3 linked regions of the Saccharomyces cerevisiae S288C genome follow. The gene in region 2 interacts genetically with the main gene of each other region. Each region holds a gene or a part of one and is shown on either strand. Other genes may lie near its edges. The genes, in order: RET2, TLG2 and PHO86.

The links.
Region 1: mutations in TLG2 (region 2) and RET2 together harm fitness more than expected from each alone (negative genetic interaction), as found in Saccharomyces cerevisiae (5 studies listed by BioGRID).
Region 3: mutations in TLG2 (region 2) and PHO86 together harm fitness more than expected from each alone (negative genetic interaction), as found in Saccharomyces cerevisiae (5 studies listed by BioGRID).

Annotation. Positions count from the first base shown.
Region 1 is NC_001138.5:250,046-253,803, forward strand, and holds RET2 (coatomer subunit delta), read right to left. Parts: upstream 1,759-3,758; coding exon 118-1,758; downstream 1-117. Other genes in the region: proteasome regulatory particle lid subunit RPN12, read left to right, coding at 2,460-3,284; HXK1 (hexokinase 1), read right to left, coding at 3,547-3,758. UniProt on the Saccharomyces cerevisiae protein: The coatomer is a cytosolic protein complex that binds to dilysine motifs and reversibly associates with Golgi non-clathrin-coated vesicles, which further mediate biosynthetic protein transport from the ER, via the Golgi up to the trans Golgi network.
Region 2 is NC_001147.6:290,362-293,840, forward strand, and holds TLG2 (t-SNARE syntaxin TLG2), read right to left. Parts: upstream 1,714-3,479; coding exon 520-1,713; downstream 1-519. Other genes in the region: TOS7 (Tos7p), read left to right, coding at 1-192; ESC8 (Esc8p), read left to right, coding at 2,168-3,479. UniProt on the Saccharomyces cerevisiae protein: t-SNARE that functions in transport from the endosome to the late Golgi and on the endocytic pathway.
Region 3 is NC_001142.9:190,394-193,987, forward strand, and holds PHO86 (Pho86p), read left to right. Parts: upstream 1-2,137; coding exon 2,138-3,073; downstream 3,074-3,594. Other genes in the region: ribulose-phosphate 3-epimerase RPE1, read right to left, coding at 1-697; YJL118W (uncharacterized protein), read left to right, coding at 1,246-1,905; SUN family protein NCA3, read right to left, coding at 3,467-3,594.

The sequences.
Region 1 (3,758 bases), on a different chromosome or scaffold from region 2:
TAAAGAATAAGAGTAAGTTAAACTATATATATAGAAGGACGAAAGAAAAGATACCTCGATTTTTATTTATTTAGTTTGTGTATATAACTTAAGTATTTTATATGTGAATGTAACGTACTATTGGACAAGATATTCATCTGATTTCAAAGAGGTGATGACGTCGTAAGGGAGCTCTTGATCGTGGTCATTGGCCATGACAACAGATTGTATGGCCATACCGGTGAAACTCTTAGCTAATTTATCCCTCGTGGACTCTTGGAAGGAAACGGTCATTGGGTACAATGCATCTTCATATGGAGCTTCGATAGTGAATGCTAGCGCACCTGCATCGTTGGCAGCAATTTTGCTAATCTTAATGGAGGTTCCCATTTCTTGGTCCATGTTGACAACTTCAGCGTCAGAGCATGTAGAAGACTCTGTATTTATGTCTACTGGCTCCTGAGGGAAAACTGGAATGGTGAAGATCACATCAGCGAGTTCTGTTTCCAGGACGCTCTCATACTCAATAATGACATCAAAGCCCTGTTGTGATTCGGAGGGGGAAACCCATGTAGTTAGAGTTAATGGAATTAATGAGTCATCTTCTGCGGGAGCGACTTTACGCCATCTTAGAACACCCAGGCTTTGGTCGTTGGCTGGGAAAGCCTTAGATTTATCACGCAGGGAGATAAGTTTAGTGGATAGGAACGATTGTTTATCTATGTTTGGATGGGTCTTAAACTGGAAGGATTTATCGCGAACGTCAATAGAATCAGCTAGTTTTAGGTTCGAGTGAGATAAGTCATGGTCATTAATTCTTAGTTCTAAAACACCTTTCAATTCAGAAGAGTGAATGGTACCATCTCTGGAGAATTCTGCATTGATTACCTCCTTGATAGAGATCAAAATACCATTGTTCTCTGGGACATCCTCCTCCGGAGGAGGTGGAGTGCCAGAAGAGGCTGAAGAAATTGCACTTGGCCGTGGTGCGGCACCCGCTCTTCTTCCGGCACCACCACCCAATTTCATACCGCCAGTAGCAGAATGTCCCGCACGCTGAGACGTAGCCATTGGGGAGGCCACTGGGGCCACCTCAGCAGCAGCGGCATGGGAACTTTGTAGATAAGACTGTTGTGCTGCAGGAGAAGCATGGGAGTAGTAACTGTTGATGGCGTTTGTAACGTTAGGATCTTTACTTCCCATGAACCTATTGGCGCCGTCGTAATCGCCATTTGAAGACATAAACCCGTGTTTCCTTTCATGTTCTTTTCTAGCAATTTCCTTAGCACGGCGCTTCCTCTCCTCAGTAGCTTCGATCTCTTTATTACGCTCAATAATTTCCTGGATTCTTTCTTCGTGCGACTCCATAGACAAGTATGTTTGCACTTGAGTAAAGGACAAGTTCTCTTTGTACCCGCCCATTGACACGATTTCGTCGAACGAGGACAAGATCTCAAAGGCATTGTGAAAAATCTCTTGGTCTTGGAAACTAGACAAGTAGGAGTTGATCGTCTGTGAAAACAGATTTAATGTGGCCAAATCCTTGATAATATTGGACTGGCGGTTTGTGATAAGAATAATGTAGTAGTTATCAAAGGGCCTATACACGTAGCGGACGTGCTTGTCCTCGACAAATGTGTGGTCTGACGAGATCTCGGAGACTAGGTTCTGGAAATTGGACAGCAACTCTAGGACTCGATCCTTGGACAGATCTTTGAATTGCCTGGACAAGAGAGGTTTCCCCTGACGCGTAGTGATAGAAGCAGCCAAAACCACCATTGTGTATTTCTTTTGATGGAGCTATAGGTATTCTAATATGATCTATATTCGACGCTGAGGCTAATTGCCCTTGTTCTTGAGGTGTCAACAACCAGATTTTCTAATTTTTCGCTGGCTGTTGCTGGAAAAATGTAAACGCGCAGGGCGGGTAATAATAAAAGTTGAACTATGAAGAACAATAGAAACGCCAAGGTTTACTGACAGAGACATGTTTTAATTCAAGTGATGAGGCGGAAACGTGCAAGATCCTAAATGAAGGATAAAAAGAGTTCTTAAAAAGGGAAGTAAGGAATAACAGAGTAGAAAAACCGAAAAGACAACTTAACAAATCGGCAACACTTTTATGGGGCCCCGCTCGCCTGTGTGCAAGTAGTATTCGACCTGGAACACGCATTTACCACGAGAAGACAGCAATAGTCCGTACAACATTAATTAGTTTCGACAATTGCTCGCCTTTATAAGCCATGCTAGTGCCCAATCAAACACTTTACTTGCCCTGAAGTTCCTTTTTTCGCTAGCCTGTAACTTAAATAAGCCATCTAACCTTTTTTTTCTAAAAATTTTCTTTATTACCCTGTCGGCTTATTTTCTATTCTACACATTATTTGCCACCCATTGAAATTGTAGCTTGTATTAATAGGGAAAAGCCGGAAGTATAACCGGTGGAAAGTACTATTGAAGTGAGATAAGAAGCCATCGTAATGCCCTCGTTAGCCGAATTGACCAAGTCGTTAAGCATAGCCTTTGAAAACGGCGATTATGCCGCGTGTGAGAAGCTCTTGCCCCCTATCAAGATCGAACTTATCAAGAATAACCTTTTAATACCTGACTTATCCATTCAAAATGACATCTATTTGAATGATTTGATGATTACTAAAAGGATCCTGGAAGTAGGTGCCCTTGCTAGCATCCAAACTTTCAATTTTGACAGCTTCGAGAATTACTTCAACCAATTGAAGCCTTACTACTTTAGCAACAATCATAAATTATCTGAATCTGACAAGAAATCGAAGCTGATAAGTCTGTATTTGTTGAACTTATTGTCTCAGAATAACACAACCAAGTTTCACTCGGAATTGCAGTATCTAGATAAACATATCAAGAACTTGGAAGACGATTCACTTTTGTCTTACCCTATCAAACTAGACAGATGGCTCATGGAAGGGTCGTACCAGAAAGCATGGGATCTTCTGCAATCTGGGTCGCAGAATATATCAGAATTCGACTCTTTTACCGATATCCTAAAATCAGCTATAAGAGACGAAATTGCTAAAAATACCGAGCTATCCTACGACTTTCTCCCTCTCTCCAACATAAAGGCTTTGCTCTTTTTCAACAACGAAAAAGAAACTGAAAAATTTGCACTAGAGAGAAACTGGCCTATTGTCAACTCGAAAGTTTACTTCAATAACCAATCAAAGGAGAAAGCTGATTACGAAGATGAAATGATGCATGAAGAAGACCAAAAGACAAACATTATCGAAAAAGCAATGGATTATGCCATAAGTATTGAAAATATTGTGTAATATTTGTATATATAATATGTGCACAAAATTACTACAAAATAAACAACTTTTTCTCTCCCGGAGAACAAAGTAAGTGGAAAAAATTATACTAATAACAATCTAAAAATGTTTATTAGCTAGGATTATACACATAAATATATATATATGTGTGTGTCTATATTTACATATACTAGACCGCAAAAAAAACATAAGGGCATCACTCATAAGAATAATAATATTAAGGGAGGGAAAAACACATTTATATTTCATTACATTTTTTTCATTAAGCGCCAATGATACCAAGAGACTTACCTTCGGCAATTCTTTTTTCGGACAATGCAGCAATAACAGCAGCACCTGCACCTGAACCATCCTCAGCTGGAACAATCGTAATTGGATCTTTGCTTGCGTCACCAGTCCATCCATAGATATCTCTCAAACCCTTAGCGGCGGCTTCCTTGAAACCTGGGTATTTGTTATAGACAGAACCGTCAG
Region 2 (3,479 bases):
TATTTCAACGTTGCCCCAAACCAAGTGCCACAGCACAGAAATCCGGTACCAGGCGTCGGTTTTGCTCCGAATCCTTTACCAAACCAAAGCCCGATAACACAAGGATATAAGCCTGCCTATAAGAGGAGAATGCAAAACAAAAACTTGCCCCGAGCTACTACTTCACTGAACAATCCTTACGGATTTAGGTAAAAAAAGAAAAATGAAGGTTCTTTTTTTTTTTTTATATTCTACAAATCACAATAACCACCAACTTGTATTAAACCATATTTTATCATCTTCAGGAACTACTTATGCACAATATTCGTTCGCCAGTCTTTACTTGCGGTTCAATTTTATCCCATATAAATTTGTATTTTATTATCATACTACATACTTTATTGAAATCATATATTAACCTTTTCACTTTTCTCAAATAGAACGAGCAACAGGTCATATGAACGCTGACTAAATCTCTCAATTTTCTTCAAAGCATATTATAGTTCAAAATCGCGATGCGGTACCGTGAAAGTTTTGTCATCAAAGTAGGTCATCCAAAGCATCATTCTCAGATTCTGTTACTTCAACGATACTCGGCAAGTTGCTCTCTTCGTCATTAATATGGGTATTACTGCCGTCATCATGACTGTTATTAACTGTTTTATTATCATCATTGTTGTACTTGTTGCTACCATTATTACGACCACCACTGCCACCGCCATGTGGTTTCAACATAACAAAGAAAAAGAGCGCTATTACGCACAATGTTAGTAATAAAATGACTTTACATTTTTGAGTTCTCTTCTGGTAGTGTGTTGCTTTATTCAACTCTTTATCTGCACTTTTTAGCTCTACCACTGTATTTTCCAGATTATAATCAATCCTGTCCACAATAGTCCCCTGGTCAACAACCAAATCTTGCATTTCCCTGAAAATAGTGCTCACTTCTAATACACCCCTTGCCAACTGAGTAATTTCTTCGTCACGTTCTCTCAAATATGCTTCTGCAGAAGTGTCATGAAGCTGTTGCTGTCTCTGCAACGTCCTTTTTGAATAGTCTTCAATATCGAGGCCCTCTCTCTTCTCTCTTGCTGCCTCCTCTTCCTCATCATCTAATAATAGCGTGTTCTCTGCACTGGCCTTATTGCGGATAGGTTTCAAATCATCCTTGTTCAAGAATTTCAAGTAATTATTTTGTAATACTCTGAACTTATTACTTTCAGTTTGTATCTTTTCTGCATAGATCTTCTGTAGATTATCTAGTATAATCAGCTCTTCTCGACTTAATTGCTTACCATCCACAAATTGAGAGTTGTATATGGTCTTTAATCGTTTCATAACAGCGTAACATTTCTGCAGCATCTGAATTACTTTGAAACTTAGATCTTCAATCAGCGCCTCATCATGACTCTTGTCTTCAAAGCCAGGTAACGAATTCTTCCTATAAACCTTCGCCAACTGCTCACTTAACCGTCTCACCTCCAGAAGATAATCATCAACATCCTGCGCTATATCAATAAATATGGGTGGTAACGCATCACTGTGATTCTCATGCTTGTTTTTTCGTTCATCTGTCAATCTGGCCGATATATCGTGAGACATATTCATCATCGGGTATGTACCCATTTCAATATCTTGATCATCGCCCAAGGGTGCTTTCCCAGATGAGAAAGTTATGTTATGAGGGAAAGTCCTACGGTATGATAAAAATAAATTAGTTCTATCTCTAAACATGTTTGTAACGACTGCCTAGATCACAAAGCGATAAAATGTACATCAATTGGAGACTTTCCTGTCTTGCCGTACTTATAGTCTATTCTGCTATAATCTATACGCACTCACTTTACACCTTAAAAGCCCAATACAAACCGGTCCAACAATTATAATTCATCTATAGGGCATATACAAAAAAAAAAGGTAGGTGTAAAAGATAATAAAATACAACCCTATTAGCTTTGATAAAAAATTAGTAGGGTTAGAATGTCATATGGTAGGGTGATATAAACGCGTGAACTTTACGCGTTTATATGTACTAAGTTATTTTCGGTATTAGAGAATACCATATCAACGACTAACTCTTAAGCTTTCGATTGTATGAGCTGAAGAAACGGCCTGCTCATTACCAGGATATCTCTTTTTTTTAGACATCAAACAAGAAAATAAGGAACAAGAAATTTGAGGTACAATAATGACAGAAATTATTGATTTAGACTTGGTCGATGACTTTATCAAGAAACCTATGGTCAAACAACAGAAAAACCAGTCTTCAAAGCCTAGGGTAAAAAGAAGGGGTCAGTTGACCTTTGATGATTTCAGAAACATCAAAATTGTAGAAGAACCTGTTGTACTTTCTCACAATAGTTCAATTGACGAATCACTGGATGCTGCTACCCAAAATACTAAAAAGCGGGAGAAATATGAAGGTACCTGTGATGAAGAAATGAAAACTAAAGAAATGGAGGCAAATATGGCAAGCAAATATTCTAATATCAAAACACATTCGAACGACACTAACAAGGTAGAGTCGATCAGTGAACACACTACTTCTAATAATAGACCATTGAATACATTAAACTGGTCACCAAATATTCCTTTACGATATTCTGACTTTGCAAAGTTTATGAGTGATGAGACGGTAACGGAAAGCAATTGGGCGCCTCCCCTTTGCACCCCTCTCCCATATGCAGGCGATGTTATGAAGATCCTTTCTTTTATCGTCAAATTTAAATGGGTGTTCAGCGACGATCTACTGAACCTGTCATTTCAAGATGTGGAGATAGGACTAGAATTAAAGGTGGCTGGCCATTCTGCGAAGAATATTCGAATTTGTCAGGATAAAATGAATCTACTATTTTGCAGTCTTTTGAGGTTATTATTCTGCTCCGAGAAAAGAGCAGACAACCAAACTCATAGAAATTTCACGCTAAAAAGATTTCTTAGTTTGAAAAATCCATATGGAAAACTGGTTGGCAAACTCAGAAGCTTAATCCAGGAGTGGGGCTTACCAAAAGAATGGCGTGGTAATAGTGATATTTTATCTACTCTAAATTTTAATGGAGGTGGTTTGTTGACGATGGAACCATTAGATAGAATAATATTATTGAGATGCATGATCGATTGGAATTGTAGCTACTCCGCACTTTTCCATAATGAAATTCAAAGGCTCACTCACTTGAAAGGCGATACAGGGTTCAACCATCAAACTTTTCACGCCAGCAGGTTTGCTATGTGCGGGGCCAATAACATATTAGATAGTTGTGAAGTTTTATGCTCTTTGATGAGTCAAAAGTTGGAAAATCGAAAGAAAAGGAAGCCCAGCGACAAAGGAAAACTGAGTAAGATCAATAGTCAGATGAAATTTCTAAAGGGTGTTCGGAAATCATTGAGCGAAAAAGTAACTACAGACAGATTACGAGCTGCAGTTAAAATAAATGAAGAATGGGGTGAATATTTTGCAAACGAATTTACACACACACCAATTGATGATCCCACCGTAGACG
Region 3 (3,594 bases), on a different chromosome or scaffold from region 2:
AACGCAATTCCTTCGAGACTTCTTCTTTCATGAAGGAGATAACATCGTGCGGGTCAGCTGCAGTGAAAACACTGGTACCAGCGACAATAACGTTGGCACCGGCTTTGGCGGCTTTCGGGATGGTCTCCTTGCCCAAACCACCATCGACTTGGATATTCAAATGGGGGAACTTGGCTCTCAAAGTTTCCACTTTTGGCATCATGTCTTCCATGAATTTTTGGCCTCCAAACCCAGGTTCCACAGTCATAACAAGAGCCATATCCAAATGAGGAGCTAGTTCAAATAAAACGTCAACAGAAGTACCAGGTTTGATGGCGCATGCAGCTTTGATGCCCTTAGACTTAATCAACTTAACTAAATGCAAAGGGTCTTGTGTGGCCTCGTAGTGGAACGTAAATTGGTCAGCACCACATTTAGCAAAATCGTCGACCCATTTTTCAGGATTTTCAACCATCATGTGACAATCGAAGAACGCAGTGGGCTTCTTTTCTGTGTTGCTAGCATCGCCAGGGCGTGGCACAGAACGACGTAGGGAGGTAACAATTGGTTGGCCCAGAGTAATGTTTGGAACAAAATGGCCGTCCATGACATCGATATGTAACCAATCTGCGCCGGCGTTGATGACCTTATGACATTCGCAACCCAAGTTGGCGAAGTCAGAAGCAAGGATACTGGGAGCTATAATTGGTTTGACCATTTTTTCTTGTGTGTTTACCTCGCTCTTGGAATTAGCAAATGGCCTTCTTGCATGAAATTGTATCGAGTTTGCTTTATTTTTCTTTTTACGGGCGGATTCTTTCTATTCTGGCTTTCCTATAACAGAGATCATGAAAGAAGTTCCAGCTTACGGATCAAGAAAGTACCTATACATATACAAAAATCTGATTACTTTCCCAGCTCGACTTGGATAGCTGTTCTTGTTTTCTCTTGGCGACACATTTTTTGTTTCTGAAGCCACGTCCTGCTTTATAAGAGGACATTTAAAGTTGCAGGACTTGAATGCAATTACCGGAAGAAGCAACCAACCGGCATGGTTCAGCATACAATACACATTTGATTAGAAAAGCAGAGAATAAATAGACATGATACCTCTCTTTTTATCCTCTGCAGCGTATTATTGTTTATTCCACGCAGGCATCGGTCGTTGGCTGTTGTTATGTCTCAGATAAGCGCGTTTGTTATGCGAAAAAAAAAAACTTTACAGAGGCTTTGTTTATATATAGAAAGACCACGAAAAAAACAGTGATGGCTTCATGCTTTTCAGTTTCATTATTGGCACGAGTAGCAGTCGTTGAGCCCATCAGAGTGCAACTTTGGTTAAATGTCGTAAATTGTATGATTGAATCATCCATGCACCAATGTCCTCCACGGGATCGCCACTTTTTTTCTTCATCACGCCCCATTTTGTTGATCCGACGTTCTGTATCAACTGTATACAGATTCGTTGCTTCTCGCACCACACAGGTTTTACGTGCGGCCAAGACCGTTGTCAAGTGGTTCATTATTGTCGACCCACTGATAAATTCTATTCTAATCAATTATCTCATTGATAGGCTCTGCACTCTTGGGCATGCTGTATTGCGAGTGAAAAAGCGCAAGACCGAGGAGAGACAACCCTGTTCTCCCATTATACAACACACACACGTTAAGAGACGCAAACGGCCTCGTCTGAGGATCGTAGCCATCAAGAGGAAGCGGAGGCGTCGAAGACCACATCGCATCGAGCGTCCACTCTCAAATATGTACCCAATAATGGAAATCCAGATGGTGGCTGTTCCACTTGCTCTTCCCAGTCCAACTGCACTGGTGCATTATCAGCAGCAGCAACAGCAGCTCCCGCAACATCATCCCTGGTACGACCTCTCGCTTTCTGAAGAAGCCCTCTCGACCTGCTGTTGTAGTTGACCTATAACTGAAAATTCACACCCGCATTACCCAGCGCGCCCGCACGTGCTCTTTATGGAAACTATAATGAATAACGACCAAAGAACATCTTTTTTTCTCTCTCACACAAATAAAGCTTTTCATGTTTATAGATATATAGCACATACTTTTACTAAGTTTTCTAGATTGATTACGACTCTTCCAGTTGCACATTTTTTCATAGCGAAAGTACAAGAGTAGGAAGAGTGGCACAATGGCGGTTCAACAAAGAAAGAAGAAAGAGGGTAGAAAGTCCGATAAAAATGCCCCATCGGTCCCACAAGTAGATGCATCATTAGACAAACCACTTGATATTGATGCTCCTCCTACTATTTACAGTGTTAATTTGAAACCAGAATATGGTACAGCTGCATTGAATTTGTCCGCGGATTTCATCAGACAAGAACAGGCATTGGCTAATAAGTATTTGTTCTTCCATCCCGTCATCCTTGTTGTTCTAACCATTGGGCTGCTTATTTACTTGACGCCAAGAATTGTCTTTCCGATAAGGAATACAGGATCCGTTGCTGGATGGTTCTACCAGCTGGCTCGTATTAATAAGAAGGTCGTCCTCAGCGGTTTAGTGTTCACCGCAATTGGTGCATCTTTCTTGTTCACCCTCCTCTCACGTGTATCTGACTCGTATTTCAAGTCGAAGATCAACCAACTTGTTGGTTCTAAAGGTGAGAAAGTTTTCGGCATCAATTTGAATGATTTGGTGGCAAGACATGAAACAAAGGATCCAGTGGTGAACAATACGCATATCATCGTTTATAGAGAAACGCCCATTGCATTGATTTCGTTAGCCCCTAACATGACATTAAGTACTGATGAAAATTTAGTCATGAGTGTTACTACTGTGGGTTGTCGTCGTGTATATGTAAAAAGTGGCATTATCGAAGATTTGATTGATTGGGCTATGCTACACTCCAAAAATATTAGAAGCAGCGGCAAATACGGGGAGACCATGAAACTCTTGATTGATGTCTACTCATTCGATAGCACGCTTAAGGAAATTTTGAAGAAAAAAGGGTTCACTTATATTCAAAGCATTAGAGTCTCTGAAAATCGACTACTAGGCGGTTTGTTCGGTGTGAAGAAGGAATTATGGGGTTTGCAATTCCATTTTAAAGCCGAACACAAGGACTAGGATACTGTTATTTTTATAGCCAAAAAATGAAAAAAAACAGCATGGCATCTTGTTAGTTCTGTTGCAACTCGCAGGAAGTAACAAAATAAACACTATAATATTTCCATATATTTATATATATGTATACAAACACCTTGTTAACAAAAAAAAAATAAACGAACTAAAGAAAACCGTAATGCAGAGTACACCTTGAAGAGAGAGAAAAGAAAATCTTTGAATCCATAGCATAATAGCGATCAACGAAACTTTTTAAGAAGTAAAATGAACTGAAAGGAGAAAAATATAACGGAATCCCAATGTATAATAATAAATAGAGAGCGGAAGAAAAAGAATAATAAGGGGAATTGAGGGTATCAAAATACAAGACATTCTTTTACCGAAAAGAAGAATGACTTAATAGAAAACAAATTCAGCAGATCCAGATAAAACAGAAACTGTGCAACCATCGGAACCATCTCCGGTGAAAGAGCCATCTTCATACGCACAGCTGCCCTGAACGTTAGCGCCATCGGATGCAACTA